4 linked regions of the Nothobranchius furzeri genome follow. The protein of the gene in region 2 binds, or shares a complex with, the protein of the main gene of each other region. Links are inferred from orthologs where the notes say so. Each region holds a gene or a part of one and is shown on either strand. Other genes may lie near its edges. The genes, in order: serine palmitoyltransferase 2, sptssa, sptlc1 and sptlc3.

Region 1 (5,024 bases), about 31 Mb from region 2:
CTTATTTTGTCAAGCCTCACATATGACACACACTTCCGCTCTTCATTCTAAGAAGCAAAGATGGCAGAACGAAGTCAAAACACACCGGCTGAGAAAGAGGCAAGTCTGCATTACCGCTCCTGCTCTCCGTGGGCTATTGCTCCCATAAGATTTTATTCCCAGGGTCGCTCCCATTACTGGCCAACATACCGTCCATAACTCTGGGCAGACACTGCAACCCCGTGGTTGATCATTGGCGGTTTTAAACAGGGGCCCACAGGGGCCTGGGCCCCTACAGAACCGGCCCTGGCCCCTTTATGGCCCTTGTGCTGAAGAGATCAGATTTTTTCCCCCCGCGCTGCCTCGGAGACGGGAACTAATGCGCTGCAGCGTTTCAAACGGAGCCTTTAGAGCGCAGCACACTCTGTGGACAGAACTGTTTAACCGGTGGAATTTTGAATTTAAGATTAAAAATAGTTTAAATGGGACCCAAAGAAATTCTTGAGGACGACTAACGGAAAAGACGCTAAGAGACGAAGGCAAGCAATACAGTTTATTTTCCCAACATAAACGAATTTCCTTTGGCAAAATTGTGCACAAGCACAAAATTAGTCATATGGCGACGACAAAAAAGAATTTTGATATTGCCCTAATTTTTCCCTTTTTTTCTTGCGCCCCCATGAAAAAATACTGGCCCCACTGTGGCCCCCTGGAAAATTTGGCCTAGAAGCGCCCCTGTCGCAGATAGAAAAGGAAGTGTGTGTGTTTGGGAATATTGTCTCTTCTTCAGAAACAAACATCTTTATAGTGATATTTTTATATTTTGCCTAAAGGAAAGCTGAGATGAAGCGAAATACAGAAAAAAAGAATTAGGTTGGGCTGAATACGCTTTTGCTTTATCAAACACAACAATATGGGATTATGTGACTTCGATACGCTGAATAAACAAATGTTCACAGAAAAACGACTCATCAGTGATGGACCTGTGATTTATGGGTGCTGCGAGTCGGTTCTCCTCTACAGGTGAGCTCTCCGAGAGGCTAAAAAGGAGAATTATTCAGTAGAACGTTGTTGGTTCTTTCAGGAGATGAAAGCAGACGTCTGACAAGCAGCTGAACGTGTTTCTAAGTGTGAGAAGATGTCAGAGTTACAGCATCCAGACACCTTTGGGTGATCACGCCTTTTCTCTGAAATGTAATTTCCGGCTCCCACAGGAGGCCGAGCGTTCACATCAAACAAACCGTCAGCGGGCTCGTAAATTTAGCCGCACCTCCACACGGGGCTTTAATGAATGCAGAGCGAGCCGAGCTTCCCTCTGGAAAAAGTTCATTTTATACTCAGACTTTTAGAAACAAGTAAACCAAAACAACCAGCAGCCAAGACTCACATGATAAAACCGTTTCAGGTTCAATACACAGATTAGATTAAATCAGGGATTAAAATAAATGCAGAAAACATAAAATCTGCATGAAAGTCTTAATTTAAATGTAAAATAAAAATTACATTAATGACAGTGTTTTCTTCTTTTCACCACAGATGAGTGAGGTTTGTTGTAGAGGGTGATGCTGCCCCCTGGTGGTGAAGGATGAGACTTACAACAGATTCTGAGTCTGTTATCATTAGTAATGACATAATTCTGCAACTGTTTTCAGAATAAAGGTTTATTCAGATCAGACTAAAACACATAACTGATGTAAAATCGGATTCTGCTGAACTCCCTGTGACATAAACCATAAACCAATGTTAATGAGGCATGTCAGACCGTACCTATCGTTGTTCCATCTTCTCCCATAATGCACTTCATAGAAGTGATGATTTGCTCCACCACAGGAGGAGACATGGAGGTGGCGTAGACGGCGCTGTGAGAGTTGGAGCGCAGGAAGTCGATCAGCTCCTGAACCAGACAAGACAGAAAATCCTCCTTAAAGATGAGCTTTCTTGATGGCTTTAGTGAGTTGCTGAGCAATAACACCAACACCAATAATACGTTTAAACGGTTCATTAAAGAAGATAAATCGAGAATAAATAAAACCAACATGGACATCCTGAAGCAGCAGAGAACACGCTGAACTCTTATTTTGAAAGGATGTGTTCTTCCAGCAGTAAAACATGGAAAACCCTGACCCTGTTAAAATCATTTAGTATCTCAGATCTACAAACATTTAAAATAAAGAGTTGACTGAGTTGTTGGTAGGTTAAAAAAACCTCGACACCGTTCCTTTAACCTTTTCAAACTTTTTAACTCCAGTTGAAACTCCTAACTAGTAGGGAGGTGCATTGCTATATCATGATACCAAGAGCCTGATGTAATGTTTAAGACTAAATTTAAATAGGAAACTCCGGCTAGACGCCTCCAAGACACATGATTATTGTGTTCTGTTAATAAAATGCTGCCACCTAGCTGTCTGAGCTTTAATTGCACCACACAAATGAAATAAAATAAAGGTTTACATGTAATTTCTCAATAGAAAAAAAATCGATACACTGCTTATAAAAATGTTTTCTGCATCAGATGCCATCATCCAGCTGCTTCAACCAACCCACTGCCATCTGGACAAAGCAGGCAGCACTGTGAGGGTCATGTTCTGCGATTTCTCCAGTGCATTTAACACAATTCAGCCTGATGTTCTTTGCCAGAAACTCCAGAAGACACAGGTGGGGGCCTCAACTATCACCTGGATTAAAGACTACCTGACAAACAGACCACAGTTTGTGAGGCTGAAGAACTGCACATCAAACCAGGCGATCAGTAACATTGGAGCACCACAGGGTACTGTACTCTCACCATTCCTTTTCACCCTGTACACCTCAGACTTCCAGTACAAGTCAGAGACCTGTCATCTACAGAAATACTCAGATGACTCTGCAGTTGTCGGGTGTATCAGAGATGGACAGGAAGGGGAGTACAGAGAGCTGGTGGAGCGCTTTGTGGCATGGTGTGGAAACAATCATCTGACCTTGAACGTCAAAACAAAGGAGATGATTTTAGACTTCAGAAGAAACAGGGTGGAGTCAAACACTGTTTCCATCATGGGAGAAGAAGTGGAGGTGGTTGAGGAATACAAACACCGTGGAGTTCACCTGAACAACAGACTGGACTGGAGAAAGAACAGCGAAGCCGTTTACAAGAAGGGACACAGCAGACTGCACTTCTTGAGGACGCTTAGGTCCTTCAATGTCTGTAGCAAGATGCTGCAGATCTTCTACAAGTCTGTTGTTGAGAGTGTAATCTCTTCAGCCATCGTCTGTTGGGGTAGCAGCATCAGAAGCAGGGACCTGAAAAGGCTCAACAGCCTAATAAAAAAGGCTGCTTCTGTTCTGGGGACGACTGTGGAACTGCTGGAGGAGATAATGCAAAGAATGATTCTCCAGAGAATCAAGAAAATGATGGACAACCCTGAGCATTCTCTTCACAACATGTCCGACAACGGAAGAGTGTCTTCAGTCAGAGGCTTCTTCAGTTTGGCTGTGTAACCCAGAAGCTAGAACCTTAATGAGGTATTAACTAATTGGCTTACTAATATGATCCATCCTCAATTTAGATAAAATATAAAATATAAATTAAGGAAATTAACAATACTAATTAATAGATATCTAATTAACTAATAGATAATTTCATAATGAATTATTGGAAGGGTGAATAACTAAAATAACGAGTTTAATATTAAACATCGGTTAAAACAAGAATCTTGAACATCACTAACAGAAACAGAAGAGGAAAGCTGTATACTATTGGTCCAGGTGGGAATCTGAAATTTCATTGGCTGAGAGAAATAAGTCCCGCCTCCGCGAAATAAAACCGTGCGACGCAGCTGAGCGAGAGGAGAGACAAACGGCTGTGCAGCACGCAGATACAGAAAGCAAAGACTGAGCGGTTAGAGAGAGAGAGAGAGAGAAAAAAAACAACGGTCGAGGCCGTGAAGAACCCTGATTTGGGTGCCGCATAGATAGAGGGAGAGGCGGACTTGACTCCTTCTAATAAGAGCTAGGAACTTGGAACCAACGCGATTTGTGTGGAGACGACAGAGTGAACCAATCCTCTGTAGGAGGGAACCGTTGGAGCGCGTTGGCTGGGGTTTTTTTTTTCCTTGGGTTTGATCCCGACTCCTATGATCACTCACTTGGAACGAGAACTGGATTTCTTCCTGACGAGGGAGATGGCGAGCCTTAACCACTGAACGAACCAGGACATCTCAAGTAACTGAAGAGCAGACTGCTCTCTTCTGTGAACAATCTCAACGGTGTGGTAGGAAAAAATCGCACCACCGGACTCTGACTTTCACCCCAAGCGTGGGGATTTGACTTGACGCCGGCTGACTTGTGACTCATATGATCAAATCTCATACCGACCATTTTACTATTGTCGATTGTTTTCATCTGTTTTTGTGTGTTATCTTTATGTGTTATATTTCCCATTATTATTAAAATTTAGTATATAAACCGTTTCATGCTATACCCGTGACTCCAGTCATTCTTAAACAACCTCCAATTCTCCCCGAACCTAATTATTGGCCCATTTGTTTATTTTTTCTTTTAATTATCTTATTGTATCCTGTAATCCGGTTACATAAAACTTGGCGAGCCAGCCAGGAGAATTGTAGAGTTGTTACCTTAGCTAACCATTGACTGACATCATAAGAGTGCCTGGAGGTCACAGTGGTTTGCCATTTTGGCATTATTGGTACTTTTGAGTGTTTTAAAATGGAAGTTGTGAAAACAGAAAAGGTCAAAGTTTCAAATGCTGTTTTAATCAGTGGGTTAACTGATACAGACCTTGATAACGAAGTCTTTGGGTTTATGGAAGGATTCGGACCAGTTAACAGGCGCATTAAGTTACCAAACTGTGATCAGATTATTGTGGAGTTTCAACATGAAGCCACTGTTAAGGAATTAAAGAAACAATGTTTACCCTATGACAAACCTTGTACTAGGAACCCAGATGTTTTCTTTCATATTCAAGACCTAGCCAGCGCGTACAGTCTAGAAACTAGCACATCTGCCACTGATGCCTATCTGTCAGAGCTCAGGGACATAGCTGCGCGTAG
Region 2 (5,768 bases):
TCTTCGTCCGCGTACGTCACAGGTCACGTGATCAGAAAATCCATGAGTTAGGAGATTGTTTGGGCTGTTGCTGTAAAAAAAGTGAGGCGCAAACCAGAAAAGCTTCTGCCGATCACAATTCAACAACGGATTATGAAAGAATGGATAACGCTCGAAACGCACATTCTTCCTGATGTAAGAGGTTTACTCTTTGTTTTGGTTATTTTGGCGTCGATGTCATCCTAGCGCGCAACGTTCTGTGACTTAAAGAAACGGTGAGAAAGGATGGCAGTGAACGGCTTTACCGATCAGGAAACGGCTGGCAGTGAATGAGTTAATTTCTGGAAATATCCATCAGAATGTTGTAAATGAATTAAAAGATGCCCGGCTGTTGAAAAATATTGGCAGTTTCATAACAGATAACCATAAAATCTGTTCTAAAATACATGGGAGCGGGCGACGCCATGATGGATGCCATGTTTCCTTCTACAGGAGCCCGTGAGGACAAAAAGCATTTGCTGATTTGTAACAAATAACTACAAAACTTTCAACATTAATAAATGCTCGTTTACACATTTACCTCTGCATTCTGTCATTGGAGGTGACCTGTGGTTTCCACCTCCTTTGACAGTCATTGCGATTGATTAAAGGGATCCAGATGTTCTTGTCATTTTGCTGGAGGATGCACTCCCAGAGATTTTTGACCTTAATGGCCATCCGTTAGTAAGGTCTTACTTGCAGTGATTTAGGTACCTACTGCCCCAGTCACTTTACACACGGTTAAAATGTTAAAAAGAAGCCGTGTCTTTGTTTCCCTGTGGTGCCCACCGCTGTGCTATAACATGTTTATTTCTGAACACAGGCTACTGGGTTGCTTTCTTATACGAGTAGAAAATGAAATGAATCGCCGCTGCGTTTGGACGCACTCTGAGGAGGCAGCATTTGCTCGTTGCCAAAGGCTGCACGATCCATTTATGTATTTATCACGTTCATTTTTAAAATAATGAATAATCGTTTCTTAAATTTCCAATTATTTTAATTAATATTTAGTCCAAACAAGCTGAACAGAGTGACCCAGTAACATAAACAATGCATTTGACCTGCTGTGGCCCGAACGTACATTCCTTCTGCTCCACGTGAACCTGACCTGGTCTGATCAGATGCCCCTAAGGAGCTTGCTGTAGAGGTTTTGAGGTTGTGGACTTTTGCCTCAGACAGACTCTGTTTAAATGTTGTTCTGGATGAATCTGCGCTCCGCTGATGCACTCAAAGCAGGTGCTGAATAACGATGAGCGCTACTTAAGCCAAAGTTTTAAATCAGGAAACATTTCTCCAAATGAAATAACCAGGTCTTCTAGACTATCTGAAAGTCGGAAGGGTTTCCACTTTCCACTCGACACAGAGCTGCTGTGCACAACGTCGAGTGCGTCACAGACAGACGCTCTCCGAGCTCCTCCTCAGCGAGCCGCTTGCACGCCCACTGTCAGCAGCGAGGCGAAGGAGGTGAGAAAACGCTCTGATGCATGGATGGAGACCTTTTCTTGATTGTTACCGCTGCGATGTTCTCTGTGTGTAACATGTAAAATATCTGTCAATAACAAACTAATGGGCAAACAAATCGCCTCCTGTAACAGCATTCATTCGTCCCATCGCCCAACCCTAGCTCAGACGATGTCGTACATTCAGATCCAAGAAAATAACGATAATGTGTGTTGTTCGTTTACATTTAGTAGGTCTTCCTGCTTCTCGACTCCTGAATTATGAAAGTGATCTGAGTCAGATTGAAATAAAAAAGGTTTTATTTGTTGTGTTGTCATTAAAAAGCTATTTAATTCTGACTGGATTTATGAGCCACAAAGAGGTCTGATGCAGTCTTAAAAACAATCATCGAGTAGTTGATGTGAACCCACTGTTCATGCTACTTTACGTGGTTATTTCTGCAGTAGGGCTGTCGCAATAATCGCAAGAACAATATATCGCGATATTAAGAAACCCACCGCGCTGCATGACGTGCCACCGCAATTACCGCACTTGATTAAATCTCGCGACAGCGCATGCTGAGAGGTAAAGTCCGCGCTGATCGAGGACATAGTAGGGCACTTTTTTTAATTTCGGTTAGATGTTGCAGCCAAATTTGCATTTCAAAGTTAAACCTCCTGAATATTGTTTTTAAGTTCAGTCAGAGAATGCCGTTACTGCCCTTTGATCTGCATTCAATAAAGTGTTAAAAATGGCCATGTATTTTTTTCTAACATTTTTTTAAATGTGTAAGCACAATGTTTCAAAGGAAATATTGCCATGAGTTTAGTAATTAACAAACAAATTTGCTAAGTACATAAATAAAAACGGGGTGCAATAATATCGCAATATTGAGCTGCCCTGACTCACCGCAGGGGGAATTCCTCGATCGCGACAGCCCTATTCTGCAGAGATATTCAGATATTCCAGCAGGAATTGGAGGCTGCTGCAGACAATCACTGGATTCAGTTAAAGCGTGTGTGACTGAATGGTGATTAAATAAATGTTTACAGGAAACATTTTTCTAATCCAAGTTGTTGTAAGAGGAGAAAACGCACCATTACATGTCTCCCATCAGCAGCCACCAAGTTAGCTTTACAAGAAACTGGTGTAAGTGATAAGCTTCTGGGTGTCTGAAGAGTCCAATACCTCATAGTGACTAAACAGCCTTTCCAGCACTATAATTTATTGTGGGGAAGCATTACTACAAGAAAGAAAGCACTAATCAAACACAAATTGCTTTAACTTTAAGCTAAGTTTATAATCAGGCAGTTGCACAGGAAGCCAATCAAACCACATTAAACAATGCATAAATCTGACTTTGTTGAAGTTTCATAAATCAGGGAAAGGTTTCACAAATCCCACACTGTGTTTTGTTTGATCTGCTACTATAGTAGAATAATCTAGAACAGAACAGGTTTGAATAGTGTAGGTGCTTTACTTCTTGAGCTAGAGCGGTTCCAGTGTCAGGCAGGTGCTGAAAAATGCATAAATCTGGTTTTGCTGAAGTTTCACAAATCAGGGAAAGGTTTCACAAATCCCAAACAAGGCTGTATGCGATCTGCTATTATTGTAGAATAATCTAGAACAGGTCTGAACAGTGTGGGTGTTGTAGTTTTTAAGCAAGAGCAGATTAAAGATGGTCAGAGTAGAAAAAAATTGGGTGTAATGGCCCTTTAGCCATTTCCCGAATCAGAAGCGAACTTCAGCCTTGTCCGGAAATGGGTTCATAGGTTAACCTGATCGGTTATTTGAAGCTATTAAAATCTCGACCTCTCTTGGTTTTAACCGTAAAATCCAGATAAACTTTAATCGTTCAGATACATGGTTTATCACGAAACCCTTCACATTTGATAAATGTCGTATTCCGTTCACAAAGACACTTCAGTTTACTCAAAACAAAGTGTTGTAGCATTGGAATTCGACGCTATGTTAGCTTCTGCTAGTGCGTTAGCTTCTACGCACTTCCCGGTTGGGTGTCCGACACACAAAAGGATACTAAACACGGTCCTCTCCCAGGGCTCCAGCATGTAGAGCGCAGTCACCAGAAGATACTGGTAATAAAACCAGGACAACTGCTTCCAACAGTCTCCGAGGGCCATGGTCCCAACTTCCCTTACCTTTCTGCTACTGTTTCCTGGTAGTGTGACGTCGGTAAAATCAGTCAATCACAACTCCGTCTTCCGATACGCGCCTCTGACGCAACACGGGAGCCACAACTTCCGGTTTTCAAAATAAGAGACAGTGCTACAAGGTGCGTTTACACAGTACGTTGTCGCTCATTTAGCTGCCTCATTACCACCTAGGACTGATTAGTGTTTGTTGTTAGCCTCAGGGACTACCTGGTGGCTTCATTAGCACTTGTAAGTCGCTTTGGACAAAAGTGTCCCCTTAATACATCAACATAAACATGAGTGTCCCTGGGCAAGATGCAGATGCCATGCGTCCGATTCTGACTGCATGTTGCAGCTGAAATTGAGATCATCAGATCAGCTAATGGTTTTCCTGTCTCTTGTGGTTATTTCTGACTTTTATATCATATCTCAAATCAGACTTCCCAGACTTCTCTTGGCATAAAAAATAAATGCCATCCATACAACAGATGCTCACTGGATTGTTGATCAATTTGAATCATTCTCTGTAAACCCCAGAGATGGCTGTGGGACCAGATTGTCTGGTAACATCTTCACCCTATCTAGAAGCAGCCATTGGCTAGTTAGCGTTCTGAACAGGTGCACCTGTGGTCTGTGAGCTTAGGGGTTTTGTTGCACATGAGAAACAGAAGTGGATATTAGCATTGTAATATTCAGACTAGCTGACTTCTCTACCTGGTGCATCCACATTTAAAGGTGCAGTCAGTAACAGAAAAAAAAAACCGGCTGGCTGAATATATGTTCACATTGCATGATTTGCCCAATACCCAGTAGGTCAGGGTGCAGACTTTACTGAGCCTTCATACAAGAACCTTAACAAAACAAACAACAACTGGACTTTTCAGCAACACATCCAGAAAAACATCTGGTCTGACACCGCTCCTGTTGAGCTCCCAGTTTACCCAACAGATCCACCACAAGATGCAAAAGTCACACCTGCTATGGAAAACAGCCTCTATGCTCTAGCAGTAGCTCAACAGGTGGAGCGGGTTGTCCAGTAATCAGAAGGTTGCAGGTTCGATCCCAGCTCCAGACAGAGAATTCTGCTGTTGTGTCCTTGGGCAAGACACTTAACCCACCTTGCCTGCTGGTGGTGGTCGGAGGGACCGGTGGGGCCAGTGCTTGGCTGCCTCGCCTGTCAGTGTGCCCCAGGGCAGCTGTGGCTACATCGTAGCTCACCACCATCAGTGTGTGAATGTGTGTGTGAATGGATGAATGATACACTGTAGTGTAAAGCGCTCTGGAGTCCTTACTCTGAGAGGCGCTATACAAGTGCGGGTCATTTATCATTTATTTACATGCGACTCCATCTTTGGTCATGAACCACGTCCCAGGTCTTTGGTTCAACTCCTTCGTTGTGACTGACCAGAGCTACACCTTCATCGCTGAAGACCCAGCCCTCACCAACTGGTCCATCTCTCCTCCATCCTACCATCACTCAGGAATGAGATCAACACACTCAAACTTCTCCACTTGAGTCAGAGACTCACCACCCTTCCAATTCAAGAGACTAGCAGCATCCGTGGTAATGACGTGGTGTTAAGGATAAAAGAAAACCAGAACAAAACCTGTGGTTTTCCCCTCCTTTGTCTATCCAAGTATTTTTATTTTAAATTAGGAATGACATGGGATGGTTTAAATGACTTGTTTGAGATCATTCAGATCAAAAGATTTAGTCCTCTTGGCCACAGCAGGAGTGTCCACCTCAACCAGGAAAACTAAAATAATACATGATGCAAGGTGAGAAGAGAACCCTCTGATGAGTGGTAGTGCAGCATCCCTCACCACTAGCTTCCTCTGAGCAGCACAAACTTCAGCGTTGAGAGGGAAACTGATGGCACAAATAAAAAAGTCTACAATACAGCACCCTCAGTCGACCTCAACAGTGGCTGGCAAGGATGTTAAAAAAATGGTAGACGTCATCTTTATCAATCACAGCCACTTCTGTGGAGCACTCAGAACATGTGACTGGGTGGTAAACCTCATCAGGGTCCGTGGAGCTGGTTGGTGCATCTGCAGGGGGTTCGACTTTCTGTCCTCTTTTCCGCTTTCTTTGCTTCCTCAGCTGCTTGGTTTTGTAGCGCAGCACCTCGTCTCGTTTCACCGTGCAGTTCATCA
Region 3 (5,637 bases), on a different chromosome or scaffold from region 2:
ATCTAAATTACATGATGTAAATCAACAAATGTGGCGGGCATTTCTCCACGTTAACATGTTATGGGCAGAATAATTAGTTCAGCTTCTGACAGCATAAAAACCACACCATAATGGAAACGGGTCTGTCCAAGGGGAATATTTAACCCTCCGTCTTGTCTTAAAGGATCAATCACAGGGGAAAATGGAAAACAGTGCATAATCATGTATGCTCCGTTATTTTATGTGTAAATATGTATTTATTTAATAATTTTATTGGTCTACGTTTCATACCGATTCTATCAATGCTCAGTAACACCACTGGCTGTAGCTTTCTCATTGATCGAGTTGCCTGTAGGACAAAAAACAGGGGTTATTTTCACTTTAGATCCTAGCTGATTTCCGGTGTCTCGCAAATATGGAACGGGATGAAACAAGTGTGAAATAAACGTCCAGGGCTAGTTTCCTTTTGTTTTGAGAGATTAATGGCTCAATTCCTCGACATGTTTGTTTCAAAGTAACTGGAGCTAAAATCTAAACTTTGATCGGAAGTCATTCCAGGGGCACTGGGGGCTGAGCTGAGCCCCACAATTCTTACATTTTAATTTGACTGCTGTTGAGTTTTAAGTCATTTTAGGAATAGACTAAAAATGATGCACCAGTTATTTACCCAGTCTTTTCTAAAAAGGTGTAAAAATTAGGACAATAAAATTTACTTTTTGTCATTTAATTTGAACAAAAGCCCGGAGGCTAAAAATGTTGCAAGCAGTAACAACTTGAATCAGCTCACAGCTGAGTTTTTATTTAATTTAAATTCTTCCTGGTGAACAAAGGCACACTGCTTGGATTGCAGCAGTACAGCTCTCTTTCCAAGAGGTTTGGTTGTAAAAACACTAATAGGCTCCTGGAAAAGACTGTGAATTTGGGCCAAAGTTCTCTATTATTAGATGATTTCATGTATTTATATGAACTTTATTTAATGAGTTCATACCAGAAGAACAAATTAATGTAAAAAATATTTAGATGGAAGGTTGAGGCAGAAGTTAAATAACTTACTGAAAACAAGGAACACCTGTTTAAACTGAAATCTACTGCATCAAATATGAGGACAATAAAACAGGTTAAGTCTGGCTGGACTGCAGCAAACGTCCAATCAAATAATAATTGTCATCGTTTCTACACAAACACATTGAACTATTACGCTGACAGGAAATGATAAATGATCAAATCTATTAATTGTAAAACTATAAAATTCTAAAAAAAAAAAATAGACAACGATTTGGAGAATTTGTTTTGTTTTTTTAGAGTCTTTCCATTTTACAATTTCCACAGCACTTTGTTCAAACACTAATTTAATTTATTTTTATTGTTCTTACTGAAATGAAAACTCAAAAGACAAACTATTCAGAATCAGAAACTTTTATTGAAAGTCAGAAATGTACTGACCTCCAACAGAAGATCATTGGAATCAACAGAAAATCAGAATGAGTGGGTTCAGAGTTAGATTTGTGGTTTGTGCTAAATCTCAATGACACAACAAAAAACAAAAACAACAACAAAATGCCAGAGTACACAGCCCGTGCACTCTGCAGACATTTAACAAGCACAAAGACAGATCTTTGGTCAGAACTCGCTTTGGTCTGAGGAGGGCCCTCTGAAACATTCTGTCTCTATTGTTCCTCGACAAGAAAGAAAACAAACACAAACAGGACGAGTTCATTAGTTTTACATTTAAATAAGTAAAATATAAAACTATTCTGGAGTGCTGATATAAAAACATCTTTAGTGGTGGAGGAGAACATCTGTGTTTCCTCACATTAACCTTCACTGTAAACAGCTGCTCCTCTTCATCGGGGGCAAACATCACACATCATTAAAGGAAGATGGATGCTGCCTCTCTGATACAAGACACAGCCTTCTGGATGTCTTCATCCGTCTGTTTGATGGTCACCACCACTCGGATACTGAGACAAACAGGAGGGGGAATGTATTTTAGATTCACCCTGACACCATCCAGGTCACTGCTTCACCTTTTGACCTCCTCTTTCTCAGGGTTTCTAATCATTTAGACATCATCACATTGCTGGTGAATGACATTTTCAACTTAAATCTAATGAAAATTACTTAGTATGCAACATATTGTGAATGAAAGTGTCAAGACTATTAATAATTAAAGTAATGGGTACAATTCACTGATTGTTCCATACCTGACTTATTGTGTAGAAATCTGGGGAGCAACATTCAAAAACTACACACAACCCTTATTTATTTTACAGAAAAGAGCTCTGAGAATCATCAATTATAGTGGCTGTAGAGATCTATCGAACCCATTGTTTATTAAATATAAATTACTGAAATTTCATGATTTAAAAGACGGAAAAATCTTACAAACCATGTATAAAGCCAATTTAGGTACTCTGCCAACAAACATTCAGGGGATATTTGAAAAGAGAACTAGTAATTACACGCTGAAAGAAACTGATGTGTTTCCAAAACCTAGATTTAGAACTAAAATTAAGGGTGGAATATGTCTGTAAATGGTGTTAAATTATGGAATAACCTTAAAAGGGAAATTTAAAAAACTCTGTCACTTATTTTCAAATATGTACCAAACTGAGTGTACTAACTGATTATGAAAATGTAAATTAAATCAATGATCATGATCGCACTGGAATTTAGAACAGGAAAAAGTTTAAAATGAATCCGTATGTGTGTCTGACAACTGGAAATTGTATATAAATTGATTATTTCTTCTGGAAAAGGAGGCAGAAATTATAAGATTTTTTTCTTCATTCTGCTCCTTTTCGTTCAAATTTGATTTTTTGTTATGTATTTCTTATTGTTTATATGTTTTATTTTGAATGAAATAAAAAATAAAAAAGGCTAATTTTACTTTTAAACAGGAAGTCTACATCCATTACTGTTCCTTTCCCTATAACACTGGGTGAGGGTGTAAGGGACAGTCTGAGTCACGCCTAAAGTCTCCCATGATTAAACTGAGTATTTAGGTCTCTGCCATCTAGTCTATTTTAAAAACAAAACTGCATTTGGACTGTTATTTAACTTATTGATCATTGAACATTTGTTAAAGAAAACATTTCACAATAATGGAAAAATGCTTAGATAGGTCTCCTGTTAAAAATAAACACTTTTATAAAACCAGACTGAAGCAAAAGATGCACACAAATGAGGTCAACTAATAAAAAACACACAGCAGCAACAGTTTTGCAATCCGAATAGAACCCAGCAGTGAGTTGTCAAATGCTATCCGTTTTTTGTTCTTTTCTTAAACAGTTTTAGTAAAATATAGTTTTTCACCTGACATGTTTCAGCTAGTATCTCTAGCAGTCATTAGAGATCTCTGAATAGATCCATTCTCATAAACACACCTGCCAACACTTTTTACTCTGAGACGTTTAGATGTGGACGCATAAAGAAACAAACCAGCTAACAGATATGTTGATCCTGGTTTAATCATAAGGCCTGTGTCACACAGCTGCTCCCCTGATTTACCCGTCTGTGTCCCGAACCTCAAGTCTCACTCAAGCCTGTAGTCTTAGTTTTTGCAACTTAAATGTGACTCGAGTTACTTCTAGTTCAGAGTCTCATCAGTGACCTGCATGCCTCACCAATGTTTTTTAGAGACATGAGGGAAGAGCACTACTGAGCAATGCCAAGTTAGACATCCACGAACTAAAACAGCATAATACTGATGAAATAAAACACCTGATAGGGACAGCCTCTTACCTGGGAGGGGGGAGGAAGCGCTCCTCTTTTTCTAGATACCTGGCGACTGTCAAAGCAACATTTCTGTCTAAACACTGAAAGAGAAAACATAAAACCTGATGAGAAGAGAGTCCGGTCTCAGTCTGCCCCAGTAGTGAGTGAGGTAAATGGTAAAAAATGTTGTTTAAAAAAATACAATAAGTCACTTAACCGCCTACCAGATACTGGATCTGTTTACTCATGTAAAAACAGAATCTAGAACTGTAGTTCTGTGTCCAACAGCCTTCAGATTTAGAACAGTACAGGTCTAATGTCATGGTGGAGTCATTATAAACATGAATCCATTCATGAATATTATATTTGTTACTAGTCGCATCAGCAGCAGCATGTGACTCAGGCATACAGATCCATCTGAAACAGACCGGACTTACATAGTCAACAACAGAGCGGAGCCGTTGCAGGTCAGTGACTCTGGAGCCAGAACCTCTCTCCAACTGTAGATGAAGAGCTGGAGCAAACGACACTCCCACTACCTTCAGACTGGGGATTCTGTTGAACACAGTCAACACGTCACAAGTCTAAACCTGTTCCAGGTCAACACGTCACAAGTCTAAACCTGTTACAGGTCAACGCGTCACAGGTCTAAACCTGTTCCAGGTCAAGGCGTCACAGGTCTAAACCTGTTCCAGGTCAACACGTCACAAGTCTAAACCTGTTCCAGGTCAACACGTCACAGGTCTAAACCTGTTCCAGGTCAACGCGTCACAGGTCTAAACCTGTTCCAGGTCAACACGTCACAAGTCTAAACCTGTTACAGGTCAACACGTCACAAGTCTAAACCTGTTACAGGTCAACACGTCACAGGTCTAAACCCGTGACAGGTCAACACGTCACAGGTCTGAACCTGTGACAGGTCAACACGTCACAGGTCTAAACCCGTGACAGGCGAACATGTCACAGGTCTAAACCTGTTCCAGGTCAACACGTCACAAGTCTAAACCTGTTACAGGTCAACGCGTCACAGGTCTAAACCTGTTCCAGGTCAACACGTCACAGGTCTAAACCTGTTACAGGTCAACGCGTCACAGGTCTAAACCTGTTCCAGGTCAACACGTCACAGGTCTAAACCTGTTACAGGACAACACGTCACAAGTCTAAACCTGTTCCAGGTCAACACGTCACAAGTCTAAACCTGTTACAGGTCAACGCGTCACAGGTCTAAACCTGTTCCAGGTCAACGCGTCACAGGTCTAAACCTGTTCCAGGTCAACACGTCACAAGTCTAAACCTGTTCCAGGTCAACACGTCACAGGTCTAAACCTGTTCCAGGTCAACGCGTCACAGGTCTAAACCTGTTCCAGGTCAACACGTCACAAGTCTAAACCCGTTAGTTCAACACGTCACAAGTCTAAACCTGTTACAGGTCAACACGTCACAGGTCTAAACCCGTGACAGGTCAACACGTCACAGGTCTAAACCTGTGACAGGTCAACACATCACAGGTCTAAACCCGTGACAGGCGAACACGTCACAGGTCTAAACCTGTTACAGGACAACACGTCACAGGTCTAAACCTGTTACAGGTCAACATGTCACAGGTCTAAACCCGTGACAGGCGAACACGTCACAGGTCTAAACCTGTTACAGGTCAACATGTCACAGGTCTAAACCTGTTACAGGTCAACATGTCACAAGTCTAAACCTGTTACAGGACAACACGTCACAGGTCTAAACCTGTTACAGGTCAACATGTCACAGGTCTAAACCCGTGACAGGCGAACACGTCACAGGTCTAAACCTGTTACAGGACAACACGTCACAGGTCTAAACCTGTTACAGGTCAACATGTCACAAGTCTAAACCTGTTCCAGGTCAACACATCACAGGTCTAAACCCGTGACAGGCGAACATGTCACAAGTCTAAACCTGTTCCAG
Region 4 (5,474 bases), on a different chromosome or scaffold from region 2:
GAGCTTTGGGTGATGACTGAAAGAACGAGATCGCAGATTCAAGTGGCCAAAATGAGTTTCCTTCACAGGGTGGCCGGGTTCGGCTTTAGGGATAGGGTAAGGAACTCAGACATCCGGGAGGGACTCGGAGTGGAGCTGCTACTCCTCATCATCGAAAGGAGCCAGTTGGGGTGGTTCGGGCATCTGGTCAGGATGCTTCCTGGACACCTCCCTCGAGAGGTGTTTTGGGCATGTCCTGCCGGCAGGAGGCCTCCTGGTCGACCCAGGACTACCTGGAGGAAATACATCTCTCGGTTGGCCTGGGAACGCCTGGGTGTCCCAGCTGAGGAGCTGGCGGATGTGACCGGGGAGAGGATTGCCTGGGAGGCCCTACTTGGGATGTTGCCCCTGCGACCCGGATGAGCAGGAGGAAGGTGAGGGGAGGTGAGGTGAGGCTGCGTTACCAGACTTGTTTTTTATCGATTCTCTGCAAATGTTGTTTTTTGTCACACTCATAAGAATGAAATAATACCACACTGGTGAGGCACTCCAACATTTTTTGCGGGCAATTTCTTCCATCTCTCCTTGCTGCAACATCTTGTTTAATTCCCATTGCTGTCTAGGTTTGGGGGGGGGGGGGGGGGGGGGGGCTTGGTGACAGAGCGTGCTTGGGTCTGTGTTTTTGATTGGTTGGGTGGAAGTAATGACTCCAGTATGAAGCTACCAGATAGGCTATAATGGAAAATGGAAACTTTTTATCAAAGTTTTTATTGATCCATTTGTTTCCTATTGCACAACATGTCTATTGATTAATATATTGAATTTTTGTCCCGCTTGTTTAGCTTAATTGTTGTTTCTGACATAGGAGTGCCCAGTCCTGGTCCATGAGCACCGTTCCGACCCACCTGATTTTAATAAGTAGGTTCTTAACAGACTTCTGCAGAGCTTGGTGATCCAGCCACTGGAACTGGGCGTGTTGGAGCAGGGAAACAACTAAAACATGATGGATAGCAACATTCGAGGAGCAGGTTTACACATCTTTGGTCTAAACAAGGGGTGCCCAATCCTGGTCCTGGTGGGTTGGTATCCAGCTTGTTTTGGTTCTTTCCCTGCTTCAACACACTTTGTTTCAATAAGCAGGTGATTAACAAGCTTTTGCAGAGCTTGAAGAGCTGCTGAACAGGTGATTCAAACACTGAATCATGGGTGTTGGAGCAGAGCAACAAATAAAGCAAGCTGGATAAAGTTAAAGTCCCATTAGTCATCACACACTGGTGAAATTACATCTCCGTATTCGACCCATCCCCATTTGGAGCGGTGAGCTGCAGCAGTGGCTGCACTCAGGAACTATTTTGTGGTTTAATCCCCAAATACAACCCCTAAAGCTGACTGCCAAGCGGAGAGGCATTGGTTCCCATTTTGTAAGTCGTTGGTATGACCCGACTAGGGGCTCCGGCCAATATGTGTCCTTAGTAAAGCCAATTTAAAGTCAGGCACTTCCTTGGGCAGCCCGGTGCTTTTGCAGAATTTAATTTAAATGTACTTTTACATTCACTAATAACATCTGCATGATAAATACTCTATATTAACTTTATTTAGATGTCTGACTTAAACGCTGACTTTAACAGATAAATTCAGAGTTCAAATACTGATTCAGCTTCAGACATTGTGGTGGACTGGAGACTTGTCCAGGGTGTCCCTGCTCTCGCCCGATGACTGCTGGAGTTAGGCGCCAGCTCCATGTGACTCTACTGGGGGGTAACCAGCTCAGAAAACAAGAGAGTGATTTGTGTGAGCTGCAACAACTGCAGAGCTGCGATAAATTAGCAAATGTTTGACAAAACGTAAGCGACAAGGGCATTACATATATGTATTAATAACGGTAATAAGATAAATAATAACAATAATTTAAACTGTGAATCTCCTGAAATCATTTTCCTACACAGATCATGTTCAACTTATGACTAGAAGAGTGAAGATGGGAGTGAACTATTGAGGATATGTCCCATCAGAGTACACAACAGGCCTATTATTCAGCCCTCTGATGTTGTTGAGATCAGGGTGCAATTGTTTTATACTAATATTATTTATAGGAACATATAATTGCTTTGTAGACTGAGAATAAGTCATCTATTAAGCAGAACAAGAGGGTGGACTGAAGGAAGCAGAAACTAAAGCTCAGCTGCTGCCTGGAGGCAGAGAATTTGTCCTTTGGGAGAGAAGAGGCAGCATTTCAAGGTGGGGTCACAGAATGTGTGTGTGGAGCTTTTCATGAACCCGACATTAAACACTGTTAGTAACCACTGACCGAAACCAGCCACCCTGTTTGGTCTCTGCAGGAGGATATGCTAAGTGTATCCGGGAAAGACAAAGTTTAATATGTTATGTCATCAAGGTCAATTCAGGTGAGAAACCGCAAAGAAAACCCCGCACTCACTTCCCAGGTGAGGAGTAGGCTACCTGCCGCACCTTGATAAAGTATCACATAAGGCAAGAATTAGGGATTAGGAGAGAGACAAATGAGAGAGAGCAACACGCGTACCTCTCTGGGGTTATGAAAGCCATTTCCCACCAACTCCTCGGTTTTCAGTCCGTTCGGTTGCGGTTTTAGGTTCCCCTCGGCGGTTCTGGCCATGCTCACCGTCACAGCTCACAGGTGCGACTGTCTCTTTGCGACTCAAGGAAGCAAACGACACGGTGAGCCTAACCGAACTCCCAAAGTTGACTTCCTCTTTCTGTTGTGTCGGTTCAGCCTCCCCTCACGCGGCTGCAGGCTTCTGTACGAAGGTCTTTCCTCATTCTTAATCGATTTCTGTTTCGATGCAGAGCCAGTTCAACTTCTGCTCGTTCTAGAATGAAACTCAACCCTCTAACTTGACATGTCTCATCCAGTTTAGATGTTTCCCATCTTTCCTGCGTCACGTGAACGCAACAGATCAGCAAAACAAAATCTTCAGTATTTTACTCTGAACAGAGTGTTATAACACTGCACCTATTTATTAATTACTATACAACTATAAATATTTAATATCATTTAGGCTGTATGAAATGTAGTATATTAACAAGTATAATTTAATATTCTCACTATTTCAAATATTTCAAATATGAAATAGGTTCTGCTGGCACATTTCCAGTTATTTCACATTAATTCATGTTTATTAGTTATTTGTAATACTTAAGTTGTTAGATCAACTAAGATGGGTTCCATTTGTGTTGCCCATTCACAACCCACGTACCCTTAAAACATAGCCTATTTGGGCTAAACTTGGTTAACCCAAGTGGGTCCCAAATTAGATGCCCATTTTAAGCCCATGTTCTCTTGGAACAATAGCTCAAGTACCATGTGGGTCCCACATACATGTGTTTGCTAGGTGAGCTAGGGCTTCTGTTTACGTCAAATTTCAGTGTCAACATTAAAATGCTCATCATCTAGAAAAGGCTCTGGAAAAAATCAACTTTTCATCCAGCAAGATTGATAAGCTAATGGGTAGTAATATGACACCATCTGCTCTGACATCAAAGCGTCATGAACGCCTGTGTTGCTTTTATTTAATTCACATTCTCCCCACATTTAATTTTACATTAAACATGTATTTAACCCTCTGATGCAATAATTACGAAATCTTCAACCATGATTTTTTAACAATTATTTTCCTTCATCTTCTGGTGTGAATGAAACAAATTTCAACAAATATTTTCTGTAACATTTGTAATGTTAGATAAATAGTATATTTGGTTAAGTAAATTGCTTTAAGAACTATTTATATTATTAACACTACTTGAGACCAATAAGCTGTAATACTCTGTTTAAATATAGAATATCACCTTTCCTGTTCTTTATCCGTTTAGTCAGAAGATTCTAGGATTATTTTATTCATTAAGGGATCGTACATTCTTCGTTTTGATTCAAGAAGCAGGCAGGTTTATAAAAACTTAAGAATCTATTTTACAAACAATTAAGACTTGACAAAATGTTTGAACTATTATTTACTGTGAGTGGATGCGAACTAAGGATGGTGTCTGGAACTTATGTGTGAATATAATGTAATGGAGTCAGAATCTCCGTTTCTCAGAGAGCTGAGTTCTGGACGTAAAAGAATTTGGTTTGCAAATAAGCTATGAAGTTATTTTCAAAACCACATACAGACGCTATCTCGCTGTGTTCTACCTCACCCGTTCTGGAGACCCCCGTTTGGATCCGAAATGTCAAGGAGCCGACGACCCCACTGCGCTTGGTTCATAGATAAACCTCCATGCGACCAAATCAGTCCTGGGATGTCTCCGGGTCACAACGATAGATGAAACCGAGCGTCTTAAAAATAACTCTGAAGGAGTTTGCGTCAACTTTGTACTGCAGGAAACTATCTTGTCGTTCTCAGCTTCACAGGTGCGAAAAAGGTTTAAGGTTTTGACAACATGTCAAAATCCTTCTGGTTAAAGAGGTGCTAAAGATGGCCGGTCTGAAGCTCGCTCTACAACTGACAAATTACTCCAAGCCATCTTGTTTTAAGGAATCGATATTCTGATCTGGCCAGCCAATCAGGGGCTGACAAGTTTGAGAGATGTTCCCAAGAATCTCAGAACACACCCTCTTTGATATGGAGACTATGAATCTGGGCAAAAGGTTAACTATGTGTTATGCGTTAGCTTAACCTAACTCTGTCTTGTATGAGTGCAAATGGTGATGACCTCATTCAGTAAACATGCTAAGCATATACAGGTGCTGGCCAGTAAATTAGAATATCATCAAAAGGTTGAAAATATTTCAGTAATTCCATTCAAAACGTGAAACTTGTACATTATATTCATGCAATGCACACAGACCAATGTATTTCCAATGTTCATTACATTTAAATTTGATATTCATAAGTGACAACTAATGAAAACTCCAAATCTGGTATCTCAAAAAATTAGAATATTCTGAAAAGGCTGAATATAGAAGACACCTGCTGCCACTCTAATCAGCTGATTTACTCAAAACACCTGCAAAGGCCTTTAAAAGGTCCCTCAGTCTTGTTTTGAAGGCACCACAATCATGGGGAAGACTTCTGACTTAACAGCTGTCCAAAAGACAATCATTGACACCTTGCACAAGGAGGGCAAGACACAAAAGGTGATTGCTAAAGAAGCTGGCTGTTCGCAGAGCTCTGTGTCCAAGCACATTAACAGACAGGCGAAGGGACGGAAAAAATGTGGTAGAAAAAAGTGTACAAGCTCTAGGGATAACCGCACCCTGCAGAGAATTGTGACGACAAACCCATTCAAAAATGTGGGGGAGATCCACAAAGAGTGGACTGCAGCTGGAGTCAGCGCTTCAAGAACCACCACGAGGAGACTCATGAAAGACATGGGATTCAGGTGTGGCATTCCGTGTGTCAAGCCACTCTTGAACATGAAACAGCGCAAGAAGCGTCTCGCCTGGGCCAAGGACAAAAAGGACTGGACTGATGCTGAGTGGTCCAAAGTTATGTTTTCTGATGAAAGCAAGTTCTGCA

What was found.
Region 1: the proteins of sptssa (region 2) and serine palmitoyltransferase 2 are in contact, whole or in part, in a cryo-EM structure (PDB 7K0K), measured with the Homo sapiens proteins. The link is inferred for Nothobranchius furzeri from reciprocal best matches to the Homo sapiens genes SPTSSA and SPTLC2. Residues at the interface, in NP_612145.2 of Homo sapiens: Trp15, Tyr18, Gln19, Leu21, Leu22, Val23, Thr24, Ala25, Tyr27, Met28, Leu29, Glu30, Pro31, Trp32, Glu33, Val36, Phe37; in NP_004854.1 of Homo sapiens: Leu73, Gly77, Val80, Leu81, Phe84, Leu87, Arg88, Leu91, Leu126, Arg129, Ile130, Tyr156, Met475, Pro476, Ala477, Lys478, Gly480, Ala481, Arg484, Glu485, Asp533, Leu534, Leu535, Gln536.
Region 3: sptssa (region 2) and sptlc1 share a complex: the UniProt entries of both Homo sapiens proteins name them as parts of the serine palmitoyltransferase (SPT) complex. The link is inferred for Nothobranchius furzeri from reciprocal best matches to the Homo sapiens genes SPTSSA and SPTLC1.
Region 4: sptssa (region 2) and sptlc3 share a complex: the UniProt entries of both Homo sapiens proteins name them as parts of the serine palmitoyltransferase (SPT) complex. The link is inferred for Nothobranchius furzeri from reciprocal best matches to the Homo sapiens genes SPTSSA and SPTLC3.

What each region holds. Positions count from the first base shown.
Region 1 is NC_091758.1:39,063,337-39,068,360, forward strand, and holds part of serine palmitoyltransferase 2, read right to left. Parts: intron 1,874-5,024; coding exon 1,747-1,873; intron 1-1,746. UniProt on the Homo sapiens protein: Component of the serine palmitoyltransferase multisubunit enzyme (SPT) that catalyzes the initial and rate-limiting step in sphingolipid biosynthesis by condensing L-serine and activated acyl-CoA (most commonly palmitoyl-CoA) to form long-chain bases.
Region 2 is NC_091758.1:7,745,215-7,750,982, forward strand, and holds the start of sptssa (serine palmitoyltransferase small subunit A), read right to left. Parts: upstream 3,828-5,768; 5' UTR 3,600-3,827; coding exon 3,497-3,599; intron 1-3,496. Other genes in the region: eapp (E2F-associated phosphoprotein), read right to left, coding at 5,530-5,768. UniProt on the Homo sapiens protein: Component of the serine palmitoyltransferase multisubunit enzyme (SPT) that catalyzes the initial and rate-limiting step in sphingolipid biosynthesis by condensing L-serine and activated acyl-CoA (most commonly palmitoyl-CoA) to form long-chain bases.
Region 3 is NC_091746.1:34,121,921-34,127,557, forward strand, and holds the end of sptlc1 (serine palmitoyltransferase 1), read right to left. Parts: intron 4,252-5,637; coding exon 4,134-4,251; intron 3,798-4,133; coding exon 3,724-3,797; intron 1,941-3,723; coding exon 1,850-1,940; 3' UTR 1,380-1,849; downstream 1-1,379. UniProt on the Homo sapiens protein: Component of the serine palmitoyltransferase multisubunit enzyme (SPT) that catalyzes the initial and rate-limiting step in sphingolipid biosynthesis by condensing L-serine and activated acyl-CoA (most commonly palmitoyl-CoA) to form long-chain bases.
Region 4 is NC_091752.1:1,177,206-1,182,679, forward strand, and holds the start of sptlc3 (serine palmitoyltransferase 3), read right to left. Parts: upstream 3,196-5,474; 5' UTR 2,615-3,195; coding exon 2,522-2,614; intron 1-2,521. UniProt on the Homo sapiens protein: Component of the serine palmitoyltransferase multisubunit enzyme (SPT) that catalyzes the initial and rate-limiting step in sphingolipid biosynthesis by condensing L-serine and activated acyl-CoA (most commonly palmitoyl-CoA) to form long-chain bases.